Linked DNA regions of Struthio camelus. The protein of the gene in region 1 binds, or shares a complex with, the protein of each later gene. Links are inferred from orthologs where the notes say so. Each region holds a gene or a part of one and is shown on either strand. Other genes may lie near its edges.

Evidence for each region. Proteins that work in one complex are often made in the same cells at the same time.
Region 2: the proteins of GNAI3 (region 1) and GRM4 are in contact, whole or in part, in a cryo-EM structure (PDB 8JD6), measured with the Homo sapiens proteins. The link is inferred for Struthio camelus from reciprocal best matches to the Homo sapiens genes GNAI3 and GRM4. Residues at the interface, in NP_006487.1 of Homo sapiens: Ala31, Lys32, Val34, Lys192, Asp193, Leu194, Thr219, Phe336, Thr340, Ile343, Ile344, Asn347, Leu348, Cys351, Gly352, Leu353, Tyr354; in NP_000832.1 of Homo sapiens: Pro616, Lys619, Ala620, Gly622, Arg623, Glu624, Arg676, Ile677, Ile680, Phe681, Gln683, Gly684, Lys685, Arg686, Ser687, Val688, Ser689, Ala690, Ile694, Ser695, Pro696, Phe781.

Annotation. Positions count from the first base shown.
Region 1 is NC_090965.1:4,179,546-4,186,885, reverse strand, and holds the start of GNAI3 (guanine nucleotide-binding protein G(i) subunit alpha-3), read right to left. Parts: upstream 3,138-7,340; 5' UTR 2,906-3,137; coding exon 2,788-2,905; intron 1-2,787. Other genes in the region: GPR61 (G-protein coupled receptor 61), read right to left, coding at 4,147-5,505. UniProt on the Homo sapiens protein: Heterotrimeric guanine nucleotide-binding proteins (G proteins) function as transducers downstream of G protein-coupled receptors (GPCRs) in numerous signaling cascades.
Region 2 is NC_090965.1:5,638,869-5,646,261, reverse strand, and holds the start of GRM4 (metabotropic glutamate receptor 4), read right to left. Parts: upstream 3,167-7,393; 5' UTR 3,097-3,166; intron 2,557-3,096; 5' UTR 2,351-2,556; coding exon 1,823-2,350; intron 1-1,822.

The DNA of each region.
Region 1 (7,340 bases):
GTTATTACTATATCTTATCCTGGACATTTTAATGTGTTCCAAAGAAAAAGTGCTTGCTCAAACCATGGAAAAACTCATGAACTTTTCCATCAGCTTCTTGATGTCTCACTGAAAGGACCCATGTTCCTACTGCAAATATTTTCTCCTAGCAATTAACTATCTTGCTTCACCCGCACATTAACAAGCTGCATATGAGGAGAGTACATTTTGGCACAATCCGGTATTCCCTCTAATCACTAGCAATTGTTACGCTAATTTTTAACACTAGAAAACCTTGACATTTTAAGTTATTGCAGGTTATGGCCAAGTGCAAACCTGATACGAGCGCACTATTTTTTAAATGAGGCTAGAGACAGATCAGAGAGAGAAGTGATCCAAAATACAGCTGCTACTTGTACTTTTGAAAGTCTCACCTTGTGTCTACATTAATATGCTTTGAAACCGATTATTGCATAATCTTTTGGGTACTCCTTCAACTCTGTCATTTGCTGAAGAGGAGGTCATGCAGTTTAGCTCCAAAATGCTTTTCAATACGGCCACAAAGAACATCAAGCCGCACCTCTTACAAGGATACAAGTAAAAACAAGTTTTAAAAAAGGATTCTTGAGATTCAGATCATTTGGAAAGCAGACTTGTTAGCCAACGTGTCCCAGTCTAACAGGAGAACTAAATGTCATTGTTCTAGTCTTCATGAACTCAATCTGTCTCCATCTGAAATGGAGAATGTCAAAGTAACAAAAAAACATATGGACATTAGAAGACGACGACCTACATGACATGACCAGATGGGTCCACCTACAACCCTAAATTTGCACTGCTTATTCCTTAGCTCATTTGAAGTTGCAAAGAAATGGAACAGGAGTCTGCCTATATCTAGCAGGCTTCATCAGAGAAGGGCATCTTTTCCTTCTCTGTACCCTACTTATCACTCAACAAGGGCTTCTAAACATGGTTACTAGAACATAGACCAAATATGGCAAGTTATTTGCAATCCTTAAATATTTATCCACTCAGGGAAGTATAATAAGAAGATAGTTCTCCACTAAACATTTTATTCCATTTAGATCCTCTCAAAGATTCATGAATGCCTTTTAGCTGGAAAAAATAAAAGTGCACAGAATTGACACTTCCTTTCTCAGCTGCTCCGTTTTCTGTACATATAGAGATTGCACTGAGGTAGCAGCAACAACAACACTTTTGCTTTTTTGCGCTCCTGCAAGCTCTGCAGAACAAGTTCAGCTATGGAAGAGTAAGGTGGATTCACATCTCATCTTTTGCGCAAAGTCAGATCCTATCACAGGATCTTTACTGTGGTAGCATGAGGCACAAAAAACGTAGCATGATTAGCAAAGACAGCTTACACAGAGCGGGCATTTCTGATCTGAGAAACAGGCGTCCAAAGAGCCATTTTCAGGGTAAAAGCTAACTACCAGATAAAAGGATTTAATTCCATTACCCTATCTGAAGCAAAAAGCTGAACGAGCATGCCTGCATGACTACAGACTGTATATTGTCAGTATTCAGCCACAAGCAAGAGGTTTTACAGTGATCTTTGTCACGCAAGCACAGGATACCCAAAGATGAAGGAACAACGAGACAGCGGAGCTAACGCTTTCTGCTCCCAGAGCCCAAGACCAAAGCCACCAGAGACAGACATCACCCAGAAGCAACCAGGAAGGAAGACTGGTAAGGTTCAGACCCACACTACAGACAGAAGTGTTACTTCATCAGGCAGAGTCTGGCTAGTAAAAAGCCCCACCCTGGGACAGCGTGCTAGAGAGCAGCGTGCTCCTGCCGTGGGTGAGAGTGGGACAGGCCATCTCCTCCCTCCTCAGAGCTGGGTGGCAATCCTAAGGGAGCGGGGCAGGCTATGGTCTTCCAGCAGCCCCACCAAGCAGGTAACAACCCCGGGAAAGGGATGGAGGACCAGGGTGGAGCGAGGGGTCAGGCCCATGCCCGAGGCTGGCAACCACACTAAGCGCCAAACCCTCCCCAGTGTCACAAAGGCAGAGCTGTCCCTCAAAACGGCCTTTTCCCAGACTCACCTCAGAGCCCTTCCCACAACTCCCTTAGCTTTCCTACAGGAACCCTACCTCATCCCAGCCTCTCCCCCTTTCAAACCCCTGAACTTCTTTGTCTTGCTAACACTTTCACCCCTCTTCCCTCAACATCCCTCTGGGTAATCCCTCACACATACACACCCCAACAGCTTCCTCGATCCCTGCTCACCCCACAGTCACCTCACCATCCCTCCAGACACCCCTCTCCCCACCACTCACCCTCTAGAGACCTTTTAGCCTCCCCCAAACCCCTTCTCAATCCCTTCCAGATAGTCCTGCCCTCACCACCTGGCTCCTCCCCTCAAAGACCCCCTAAAACCCTCTGGAGCCCTTGGAAAGCCCCAAATCCCCTTCCCAGGGACTCCTTCACCCTCTCCAAGCCCCGGAGTCCTCTCCCAAAGCCCTCAGCCGTCCCAACGCTTCTCCAGGCCTTCCCTCGAGCTCCCTTAGCCTTCTCAACCCCCTCCCGGACTCTGGAGGTCTCCCTCAAGCCTCCTCTCCTGAGACTCCTTAGCCCCTCAAGCCCCTTCCGAGCCCCCAGTCCCCCTCAAAACGCTCCCTAAAGCTCCCTTAAGCCCCCCCTTTAGAGGCTCCTTGGAACACCTCCCCCCCCCGGCACTACAGAGTCCCCCAAGCCCCCCCCGGAGCCCCTCAGTCCGTCTCAAGACCCCCCCCCAGCCCTCTCCCCTCCCCAGAGCCCCTTTACCCCCGCCCGGCCCCTCCTCACCGAGCAGCAGCAGCTTCACCTCCTTGGCCGCCTTCTCGCCGTCCTCCCGCAGGTTGCGGTCGATCATCTTGCTCCGCTCCACCGCCGCCTTGTCCTCGGCGCTCAGCGTGCAGCCCATGGCGGCGGAGGGCGGCCCGCCGCCGGGGAGCCGGAGCGGGGCAGACGGAGCCGAGCCGAGCCGGTGCGGGGCTGCGCCTTCTCGCTTCCCCTCAGCGCGGGCGGCTCCGTGAGGCGGCGCCGGATATCCGCCCCGCCGCGACCGTTACCCGCCCGCCAACCGCCCCGGGGCGGCGCCGCGCGGGCGCGGGCGCCCGCCGCGGGGCACGCCGGGAAATGCAGTCCGCCGCCGCGCGGGGCGCGGGGCACGCTGGGACTGGTAGTCCACGCGCTGCATGCGGGGAGTTGGAGGCTGCCCCGCCTCACTTCCGCCTCGGTGGAGCGGGGCGTGATGGGAGCCGGGGGAGGGTGGGCGCCTCACTTCCGCCTCGGTGGAGCGGGGCGTGATGGGAGCCGGGGGAGGGTGGGCGCCTCACTTCCGCCTCGGTGGAGCGGGGCGTGACGGGAGTTGTAGTCCTGAGGGAGGCCCTGCGGGAGGGGAGGGGGTTCTCTGCACGGCCCCATAGCTGCGCCAGCCCCACAGCTGCCCCGGCCCTGCCCAGGCCCAGCCCCACGGCCCGTGGCAGCCCCCTGCCCGGGGTGTTTCCCTCGCTCCCCCCCAGCTGCCCCACGCTCGAGGGCACCCGCCACCACGGGGGGCTGCTCCTGCCTCGACCCGGCCCAGCCCCACGGGGCGCTGGGGGGCAAGCGAGCCCGGGAGGCCCCAAGGGCGGACGCGGGGACCGAAAGCGAGGGGCGGCCCCCGGAGATCAGCCGGGGGACGGGCACCCACCACGGGGGCAGCTGGCCCCAGGGCAGGAGGGGAGCCCGGCCCGGGGGCACCCGGGAGGCGGCGGACGCCCCGTCCCCTGGCTGCGCCCGCCCGGGCAGGGTGCCGGGGCCGGACGGGGCCAGCAGGACTTTTGGGGGACCCCCTCCCGCCGACCCTGCTGAGACGCTCCCGGTCAGGACCGCCTGACCCCCTAAAACCGAGGCCCCGCCACGCTCCAAAACAGCTCCTCCCTGCTTTGTGACCCCGAAGCTGCCTCCCCGGTGGGGACCCGAGTGGGGGGGGGGGGGTGACACGTCCCGGCTCCGGCCCCCACGGCTGGGGAGCAAAGCACAACCCCGGCGAGGAGGGTGCGGGCGGCGGGGACAGCCCCGGCAGGTCCCCAGCCCCGCGGCGGCCGCGTCCCCAGGCGCCCCAGCCAGGCACGCACACCAGCTTTCCTCTTGCAGCCGTGTTTGACCCCCCCGGGGACGCTACAGCTCCCGTTTGGGAGAGGTGGCCGCCGGCACGTAGCCATCGCCGCCGCCGCCGCCGCCGCCCCGGCGCTGCTCCGGGAGCTCGGCCGCCTCCTCGGCGATCTGCCCCGGGATGCGGAAGTCGACGGGGGGTTGGTCCCGCTTGGGGCTGGGGGTGGCGGGCCGGGGCCGGGGCTCGGCGGGGCAGCCCGTGCCCTGGAGGAACTGCAGGAAGTTCTCCTCGATGGAGCCCTCGCGGCTGGGCAGCCGCAGGTCGTCCTCCGGCGGCTGCTTGAAGAAGCAGGTGAGGAGCCGGCCGAGCTCGCCCCGGATCTGCCGGTTGAGGCACCCGTAGAAGAAAGGGTTGGAGGTAAAGCAGAAGTAGCCGAGCCAAGTGACCACGGTCTCGGCCTGCCGCCCCGCCGGCGGCTGGGGGCTCAGGGCCGTGTAGAGGTGGAAGGAGAAGTAGGGCAGCCAGCAGAAGAGGAACTGGCCCCCCACGGCCAGCAGGATGGCGGCCGCCTTGCCGCCGCCGAACGTCCTCTGCGGCGTGGTGCGCGGCGCCCCTGAGCTGGTCACCATGGTGGAGCGGCTGCTGAGCGACTCCGAGCGCCGCCGCGGCGTCTCCATCCAGGTGGGCAGGGGGCCGTGGTGCATGGCGGCCACCCGCGCCACCTTGAACATGCTGCAGTAGACCACGACGATGATGAGGAGGGGCAGGAGGAAGTAGAAGGCGGCGAAGAAGACCACGAAGAACTTGCAGTAAGGCCCGCGGCTCCACTGCAGCGAGCACCCGCGGCCGGCGGGGGCCGGCGGCCGGTCCGGCGAGAGCCAGCCCAGCACGGGGACCAGGGAGGTGGCCACCGCCTTGAGCCAGACGCCCACCAGCACGCAGGCCACCAGCCCCACCGTCATCTTCACCTCGTAGCGCATGGGGTGCACCACGTAGTAGTAGCGCTCCACGTTGATGGTGGAGATGGAGAGGATGCACATGCTGATGAAGCAGACGCTGAGGAACAGGTAGACGCGGCACATGGCCTCGCCAAAAACGGGGCTGTCGAAGACGGCCGAGCCGGAGAGCATCTCCAGGGGCATGAGGGTGAGGGCGGCCAGGAAGTCCACCAGGCAGAGGTGGAAGACGAAGACGAACTTGCGCAGCGCCGGCGTCTTCACGATGACGGTCATGACGGCCGCGTTGCCCACGATGGCCGTCAGGTCGATGAGCAGCATGAAGAAGAGCCCCACCGACTTGGAAGCCACGTCCTTGGGCTTGGCGTCGGCCGTGCCGTTGGCGGGCATGGGGCCCGGCGAGGGCTGGAGCGGCCGCGCCGGCCTAGAGCCGTTCCAGGCCCACGGCGCAGGCAGGGAGGGCTCCATGGTGTCCCGCGGTGGCGCCGGCCCTCACCGGCCCATCGCCCATCCTACGGGCCCCCCGCGAGGGGCCGCAGAGCGTCGCCCCCGGCGCTCACATCCTCGCCGGCCGGACCCCGGCCCAGCCCTACGCCGGCCGGCGGCCCCGGGTGCTGCTGGCCATCGCCCGGCCCCGCTCCGCCGGGCGCGGGACGGGTGCTGCGGAGGCGGCGGCGCTCAGCGCACCCAAGGGTTCCCCCCGGGCGGGCTCATCTCCCGGCTGCTCTGCGCCGGGCAGAGCGGAGCACCTGCGGGGGAAGGCAGAGAGGCGGCCGGATCAGAGGCCCCCGCGCGTCGGCGTCTCGGCTCAGCCCCCGACGGCGGCCGCTGGCGCCCCGGGGCGTGCCTGGGTCCCCCCCGGCGGGGAGAGCCGCCGGGCCCCACGCGGGGCTGCCCTGGGCTGAGAAAACTCCTTTCTCAACAAAATGTCTCATTTCCTTAGGAAACGAGCAACCCCGGGGCTTAAAACCCCAAACTCCGATGTTTCAGCCCAAAACAGCCTCACCTGACACCTGGAGCCCGGGGACTGCCGATGGCGCGGCTGGGACCAGCCTGGGACAGCGCGGTCCCAGTCCCTCCCTGGGCCCGGACGCCTGGGCTCACCCCTTATCCCCCCACCCCGAACACGTCCCGGGATGGGTGCCGTGCACCCCTCACCCCAAATCCCTGGGGGGGGGGGTGGCAGCCAGCGCGGCGGGGTGCCCGGCGATGGGGGGGGTGGGCACCCGCTGCAATGGGGGTGTCACCCTCCCTTCCCCACCCAAGGGTGCTACCCCAGCGCGGGGCCGGGGTGTGGGGGCAGCACGGGGAGCCCCCGGGGCCCTGCCCCGTTTTGGCAGGCCGCGGCCGGTCCCGCCGATACCCGGTGGCCCCCGGGCACCGGCATCCCCCCGGGGGCGGCCGGGGCAGGCTCGTCGGGGTGGGTGGGGGGGCACCGGGCACCCTCCCACCCTCTCCCCCGAGCCCCTATGCACCATTCCCCCTGCATCCCCCCCCCCTCCCGGTGCCGGGGCTGCGGCCTTCCTCCCTCCTCCCTCCCCCCCCCCACCGCAGCAGGCCCGGGGCGACGGTGAGGGGCGAGCGGGCGGCCCCGCGCCGCTTCCGCCCCGGGGGGCGCCCCGTCGCCCGCCGCAGCCCCCGCCGGTAGCGGCGGCGGGGCGGGCACCTACCCTGGGGGGGGGGCTCCATGGGGGTCGGCGGGCCCCGGCGGCCGGCTCGGCGCCCCGGTGCCGGGCGGGGATGCTCGGGGCTGGGCCGGGGCCGGGGCCCGCAGCCGCCGCAGCCGGCGATGAGCGGAGCCGGCAGCTCCCGCACCAGCCGCGCTGCTGGGTCCTAAACGCCTCCCGCCGGCGGCCCGGCCCGGCCCCGGGGGGCAAAGCGCGGCCCCGGGCCGGGCCGGCGTGCTGGGGGGGGGGGGCGGAGCGGGGGTCGGCGCCCGGGGCCGCCCCACCACCCCGCCGCTGGCCCCGTCCGCAGAGACGGAGCCCGGCACGTCACCGACCCCCCGCTTTGCCCCCGGGACGCCCCTCGCAAACCGCCTCGGCCCTCGTGTCGGGCCTCAGTTTCCCCAGCCCGCGCCCCGGCTGGCAGCGAGCTGCCTGGGGGCTGCGGCGGGTGTTGAGGCCCCCCCGAGCGGGTGCTGGGACCCGGGGAACCGGCAGAGGGAACGTGCCCGGGCAGCGCAAGGGGGCCGGGGCGAGGGGAGGGTGACGGGCGAGGGGAGCGCCCAGCCGGCGGCGGGGAGCGGGGGCAGCGCGGCCCGCGCGGGGCGCGGAGCCGGCCGCAGGGGGCTGCCCGAGGCG
Region 2 (7,393 bases), about 1.5 Mb from region 1:
TTAGGCAGCGGCAGCTAACGAAGGACACATTTCTTTACGTGGAGCGGGAGCGACGAAAGCCGTGCCGGGGACGCGGCAGGCCTTGCTGCCGAGCCGGGGGGCCGCAGCGGCCCGGCACCGGGTATTGCAAGCGGGATGCTGCCGGGGCCGGTGCGACCGCGACAGGTCCCGCCGCCCATCGGCTGGCTTTAACGGCGGGTTTAGCGAGGCGCCGCCGGGGAGCGGCGGCAGGAGGGACGGGGCTGACGGGTGCAAACAGGGCGCGCGGGCACCGCTTTCCTCCCGTTGGCAAGGCGGCAGCCGAGCGGCCGGCTGCGGCCCCGGAGCAAAGCTCGTCCCGCCGGGGTCGGGGGCACGGGAAAAGGCAAGGGCGCGCGCACGGGGCTGCGCTCGGGAGCAGAGGCGCCCGCGCTTCAAGGTCGGCAGCCGTGCGAGACTGAAGTTGTCTCATTTGCATCGCACATGTCCGTGCCATCAACCTGCTATTTGAATAGCAAAAAGCGACGGCGATCAGGCCCAGCCGGGCTGCGTCTCTGCCCTCTGCGGCCCTTTTCCCCCTCGATTAGAGCCCCGCAAAAGCCTCTCCCGGGGACGAGAGCACGAAGCCGCCTCCTTCGGCGTCCCACGAGCCGTGCCGCATCCTTCCCGGCTGCTTTGCCTACGGAGCAAGACTGGGGGAGGTTAAAATGAAATCCTGGGGGGGGGGGGAGAAGAAAACACCCCAAAACGGTTTAGTTACCCTCCCCTCCTCCCACTGCCATCCTGCCTCCCTCTCTCCCTCCTCCTCTCCGAAGCGAGCGTTCAATCTTTTTCGTCTCGGCAAATAGCTTTTAAGTTCCTCCCGCTCCCTTTAATTTATACTGTTTTAATTATTGAATAGCCCTCTCGCCCGTCGCCTGGAACATTAACGTGTTTTTTTTGTTTTTTTGTTTTTTTTTTTTAAAAGGGATCCAGAAAAATCCAGCTCCACCTGCGATCTGCCTCGCCGCCTGCGCTAACAGCTCCCAGCGCTGCCAGGAGAGCGCGCGGCGCTTGCAGCCCGCCGGGCAGCAGGCAGGAAGAGGAGGGGGGCAAAAGAGAAGAAGGCAAAAGGCAGCCGGTCGGGGACAAAAGATGGTTTCCAAGACGCTGGGAGGGGAAAGCAACTCCTAGACACGGAGCTGGGCTCTGCGGGCAAAGCAGGGCGCTTGCAGCCCGCAGCGGCGGCGGCGGGGGGGGGTCTCGTTCAAACGCTCCCTCCAGCCCGGCGACGTTGCTTCCGATAAATAAACGGCGAAGGGAGCAAGCGGCGGCCGAAGGGCTGCTCGCACGGGGCAGCTCGAGGGCGGGAGAGCGAGGGGACGCGCCGCGTGCAAGCAGGTTGGGCGAGAGCGTTAGTCGAGGCCGCGCCGGAGACCTTGCGCCCCGAACCGCTGTTCGGACCCTACAACAGGGGCTTCGATCTCAAGACCCAACGGGACGAAGCCCCGAGCCACCGGGTCTGACCCCGGAGCCGGCGCGGGACCGGAGCCCTCCCGAGGCCCCTCGCAGCCAGTCCCCACTCCGTACCCCCGTCGACCAACCTCCCCGGCACCCCGCCTTGCCACGAAAAGACAAGTCCTCGAGCAAAGAGCGTCGTCACCGCAGGGGGACGGAGCAGGGCATCGCCGGGGCGCCGGGAGACGGGTTTTGGAGACGCTCGTGCTCGCCTGCCCCCCGCCGCGGAGGACGAGGCCAGCACGCGCAGACGCCCCGAAAGCGCTTGCAGACGTTGGCGGTTATTTTTTGCAAGCGCGGAGGTGGCAGCGGAGGGGGGGGGGGGTGGTGCCGGGGGACGCCGTACCTTGAAGAGCCGCAGGATGTTGGCCACCATGATGGAGACGGAGCTGCCCGAGGCGCCGATGACGCCGACCACGCGCTCCGGCTTGGTGATGATGGGCGGCCCGCCGTTGACGCAGCGCACCTCGGTGCTGTCCTTCTCGATGAGCGCCTGCACGAAGGTCAGCGACTGCTCCAGGGCGTGCGTGTCGCGGGAGCACGTGTCCAGGATGCGGGCGCCCAGCGTGATGTTGGGCAGCAGCTCGGGGTCGTTGTTGATGCGGTCCAAGGCGAAGAGCATGGCCTCCAGGCGGTGGATGCCCTTCTCTTTCTTCAGCTCCCCGCACGCCTTGCCCTCCGAGCCACGGCCGTGCACGGGGAAGAGCCCCCCGAGCGTGATGTCCCCGTCGATGCGGATGGAGTTCATGTGCGGGTAGCCCTGGCCCTTGGGCTTGGCGGCGCCCACGGGCGCCCAGCCCCAGCTCCAGGCGCTCAGCAGGAGGCAGAACGACAGACGCCCCATGCGAAAAGAACCCCCCCGCTGCCCGCTCATCGCCGAAGCCGTGCGGGGACGGAGAGCGCAGCCCGAAACCCTGCGGCCAGGCGGCGACGCCGGCCCCGCATGGGAGACGCGCCGCGGCGGGGAGCGCCTGCCCGGACAGCCGGATCGGGGCGGCCCGTCGGGGAGCTTCGCATCACCAGGCAGAGCGGCGGCCAGGCGAGCCCCGACGGCAAGCTTCGGCTCCTTCCTCCGCAGCCCTGGAAAGGGAGAGGGTGGAAAACAGCGGGGGGAGAGAAAGGGGAGGGGGGGGGGACACAAAAAAAAAAAAATCAAGCCGGAGCACGAGGAGGACATCAGTGATCCAGACCTTCCTGCAGGGAGCCCGGCAGAAATCAGCGCTGCGGGTTACGGCGAAAAGATTTGGGATGCGCTTGATTTCTGCTTCGCGCCCGCTGCTTTGACTCAGCCGAAACACGTTATCCGGGCAGCTCGCTGACCGGGCGGCAGAGCCCCGGCCGGCCCGGCACCCTCACAAAAGCGACGAGCCCGGCAGGTCTCAGCGCCGGCGGCGAGCGCGCAGCCGCTCAGAGCCTGCCCCGGCCCCATTCGCCTCGCTCCTCGGCCCGCGAGCCCGGTCGGCCGAGCGGCGTCCGTGCCCGCCGCCGGGACGCCCCGCCGCCCCTGCCTCGGTTTCCCCTTTGGGAAGGGCTCGCCGAGGACAGCGCGGGAGGGACGCGAGGCCACAGCCGCCCGCGGAGGAGAGCTCCCCGGCCGCCAGGGCCCTTGCCTCAACTCACCTCCATAAATTATGCACCTCCCTGCCTGCCGGAGCCGCTTGAAGGCCGATCTCCAAAGCGTTTCTGACAGCCGGGGCTTTTAAGCGATCCGAATTAGTCAGCGGCGAATGCTTTCCGCTCCGGGAAGGGGGGGAGCCTGCGAGCACCGCCGCCGCGCACGACCCGCTTCGCCCCAGCGCCCGCCGCGCAGCGGCCGAGCTCCCGCCGGCGCCCCCGGGAGCGGGCACGGGCATCCGAAGCCGCCCGGCGAGCCGAGCCCTGCAGAGCCGCCGCGTTCGGCCCCACCGCGGAAACCACGGCGGGGGGCTTTGCAAGCGGCGGCTCCCAAACCGCCCCGGCTGCAAGGGCGGGATCGGGAAAGGCTCTGCCCGTGGCAGCTCCGGGCCGGCTTCAATCAGGTCGTTCCCCCTCTCCCCATCCTCCTGCGAGGACCTGGATCGTTTCTGCCCGTCGGAGGAAGGGTCTGCAAGCGGCATCCGCTACAAGGAAAATCCTCCGCGCCCCGAGAGCGCGGCGGCTCTCGCGGAGCTGCCGGCATCCCACGAGTCCGCGGCCTCTTTTCCTTCCTTCTTCTAAGCTTTTTCCTTTCTGCTCTCTCGCCTTTGTGCCGCCTTTGATCGTATAATCTGAAGGAGCCGAAGGTAAAAATATCACGGCAGGCCAGGAGAAAGCGTCAGTACCGGCGAGAGGAGGGTTCGAGCCCCCCGCTGAACCGCGAGGGGAGACGCAGCCGGAATTATCCCGCGCTCCGGGGCCGCAGGCGGCCCGAGGGCTCGCGGGAAAGGAGCGGGGGACGAGCGCCCTGGCCCCCCTCTGCCCACGCCGGCCTCACAGCTCAAGGGCAATAACCGCGGCTGCCCCAAGGGAGGCAAATTCATCCTTCCTCCGAGGGCTGGGAGACGTCTCCGCGTCCCCGGGGCGGCCCCGGACCTCCCCGGCCCCCTGTCCCCGCACCTGCCGGGAGACGCCCCCGGCGGAGGGGACGTCCCTCGTCCCGTCCCCGTGCTGCCCCAGGACGGCGTCTCGGCGCTAAGGGGCGCGAGATGCCGCGGACACACGGGCAGCTCCAGCGCCCAGGACGCGCTCTCGGCAGGGCTCGAGCAAACCCGGGCAGCTGCCGCCGCGACGCCGGCGAGGGAGCCCCATCCCCTCCTGCTCGCGCGCCGCACCATTTTCTTCTTCTTTTTTTTCTTTTTTTTTTTTCTTTTTTTTTTTTTTGCAGAATTTGGCGGCGCTGCCGCGGCCCCAGGACCGAACCGCGCGGCGGGAGCCCGCGCTGGCATCGCGCGCTGCCCCGCCGGCTGCGACCCCGAGCTGGGCGCACGGCAAACGCCCCGGGGCTGGTGGAAACTGGAGGGCTCTCGGCTCCGCTGCAGCTCCCCAGGAGCAGAGCCGGCTCAGCCGACGCGAGGGCGTCGCAGGGGTGAAGACGCTCCGTCAGGGGGGCTAAAAAAATAAACAAGCAAACAAGCAAGCAGCCCATTTCTCTCCAGTCCCTGCAGGACTCCAAGTCAAAACCAAGTTATTTTGCCCCCCCCCAGCGTCCCCCGCGCCCCCAGCCCAGGCGCCGGCTAAGCGTCGGGCACGAAGGCTTCACGGCCGCCGCCGCGGAGCGGACGAAGCCGAAAGCGCCCGCGCGAGCCCCCGCCCCGTCTCGTCTCGCTGCCCCTTTTCCGCGCTTTCCAGCGGGGCCGGGCAGCGGAGGCCGGCAGCGAGCGCTGCGGCGGGGAGCAACCCGCCGCCTTCGCCTCCGCGCGTCCCCCCCACCGCCTGCCGCGGCGCTCGGGGCCGGGCCCGCGTCCAGCCGCGCCACGAATTCGCGTCGCTGGCGATTTCGAGACTTATTTAGCCAGGCATCCCCCTAGCCCTGCTCCGAGCTGCGCAGGGGGCCCAGGAGTCCTGCCGGACCCCCTGCCCCAACCCTCGCACCGACAGCCCACGTCCCGCAGGGGAGACCGAAACCCCGGCACGGGGAGGGCTGCTGCCCGCTTCTGCCGCGAGTTCGCCGGTGTCTTTTTGACAATCAAGGCCGTTTCTTTCCCCACCTGCGAATCCTTCGGCAAGCAGGGACAGCCGCAGCGCAGCACAATATCCCAATTAGCCTACGCTAGTTTTTTCCCCCTCGCTTGTGAGCTATTGCAGGGAACCTGCTTTGGCTCCCGTTTTTTTCTTTAATTGCAAAAGACAAGGCGAGGGGAGGCCAGGGTAAGTTATCTCTTGACAGGCACAAACTTGAGCGTTCAGGTCAAGCACCTGGGCTTTCGCCTGCCTAGGAGCAAAGCGAGGCCGAGGCGGAGCAGGCACTGGAAAGCAGGGACCCCCGATTTTAACAGGAAAATACACCCGATACCTTAACGAAGGTGCACGCGCCGGGCCGCAATCGCCAGAGCCAGGCGCGAGTCGCTAACCGCAACGGGTGCAGGATCCCAACCCAAACACCAGCGAGCCGCGCGCTGCCTCTCCGGGACGCGGTCCCGCTAACGCCGGGGTCTTCTGCCGCCCTCGGTGCCCCGGGGCTGCCCGCGACCTCCCCGTTCACCACCAGCTACGCTCAGCCCAAATCAGCGTGCCAGAAAAGCCAGCTTCGCGCCAGGTGCTGCCACCGTCCTCCCTGCCCCAGAGCCCGACCCGGAGGCTCCCAAAATCCATTGATAAAAGCTCCACCTGGGTTGCAGATCAGACTCAGGGAATATTTATCATTTTATATATATATATATATCCTTAACTGCAGGCAAGTTCTCTGCCTCCCGCTCTCCTGGCCCGTGCACAGCAGGCCAGCGCTAACCCCTCGCCGGCACGCGGCCGGGGCAGGGCGAGGAGGAGGCAGCAGCACAGCTCACGCCGGCAAACAGCTCCAGCCAGGGCGCCGCGGGAGAGAGGAGGGAGGGAAGGAAGGAGCCAGCCCCCGTCCCCGATCACACCACAGAAATCCCACGATTAATTTTTGATCACCTGCAAATCGGGAACGGGGACAGCACCGGCTTAGGAAGCGAGCGGGGCTTAACCACCGTCCCCACCGGGCACGGGAAATCGGTCCACCCCAGGGGGGACGAAACCCCACCACAAGGCGCGAAGCCCAAGAGGGAGGGACGGTGCCCGCGGCGGGCACGAGGTCGGGGGGTGCGTTAGCGCACGTTATAATTAGGACCTGCCATGTCTTCAGGCTGTTCCCTTTCGGGGAAGAGCTGGAAGGGGGTGGCTGAGCTGACAAATCCATCCCCCTCCTGCCTGATGCCAAAGCTGAGGCACGTGACACCCTTTTTCGGGTAGCCGGCAGCAAAGCTGCGCCCCGCTTCGGGGCTGCGCCGGGAACGGGACGTGGCTGCCGTTCGGTTTTGGGTGTAAAACCTCCCCGAAATCCCCACTCAGTGTCTCCCATGCCGGCGCACCCGGAGCCCTGCATTGCCGGGGGGCTCCGCGGGGGACGGACAGAGCCGCCAAGCCCATGCCCAGACGGCCACCCCGGGGTGCCCACGGCAGGAGCTGAGCCCAAACACCCTTTTAGGGGGAGCGCAGCAGGCTACAGACCGTAGCATCCAACTGAACCAAAGCTTTCCTCCCCCGGGGCCTGCTTCCAGCCAGGGGCCCCCAAAATCAGCTTGCCCATCCCAGCCCGGGAGCCCGCAGCTCCAGCCCGCTGCTCCCAGCGCAGCTCCGTGCCACCTTCTTCAGCTGCTCGTCTGCACGGGAGACCCCCGGCCCGACCCCAGCTCTGCCCCGCGGCAGCCCTCGGGGCTGGCCTTCCCCTCCCCAGAGCCGCGCGCAGCCCCGGCGAGGCAGCCGGGATTTCGGCACAGCCCGCCCCGGAGAGACAAGATCACAGCTCCCGGCGCAGAGGCGGCAGCCTGCGGGGAGGTTTCGGCCCCCGGCTGTCCCCTCCGGCCCTCCGAAGCTGTGCCCAGCGCGCTCCCGCCGCACCCCCCGCCTGCTGCGCTGGTGCAGAAAAGCCTTGTTTACGTGAAGGGAAAGAAGGAAAGGAAATGAGCTTTTTCTTTTGGCACTTCTCTTGGCATCTTCCCGAGCTCCTCGCCGCGTTCAACAGATCGGCTCCATTCCCTTCCTCTCCAGGCCGTGCCTCGGCGAGCGGCCAGCATCCGCGATCTCCTCTAGCGCTTGCCTCACACCTGCCTTCTGCCGTTCCCCCTTCAAACCCGGAGCCACAGGTCACCAGCAGCGGCGATGACTCATTCCCGGCCTCTAAACCGCAGCCACGGTTGAAAGCAGAGCTTGCTCCCCCCCCCCCCCCCCGACCGAAGCAGCCCACAGAAAAATAACCCGGCCAGCAGAGCACGGCAAA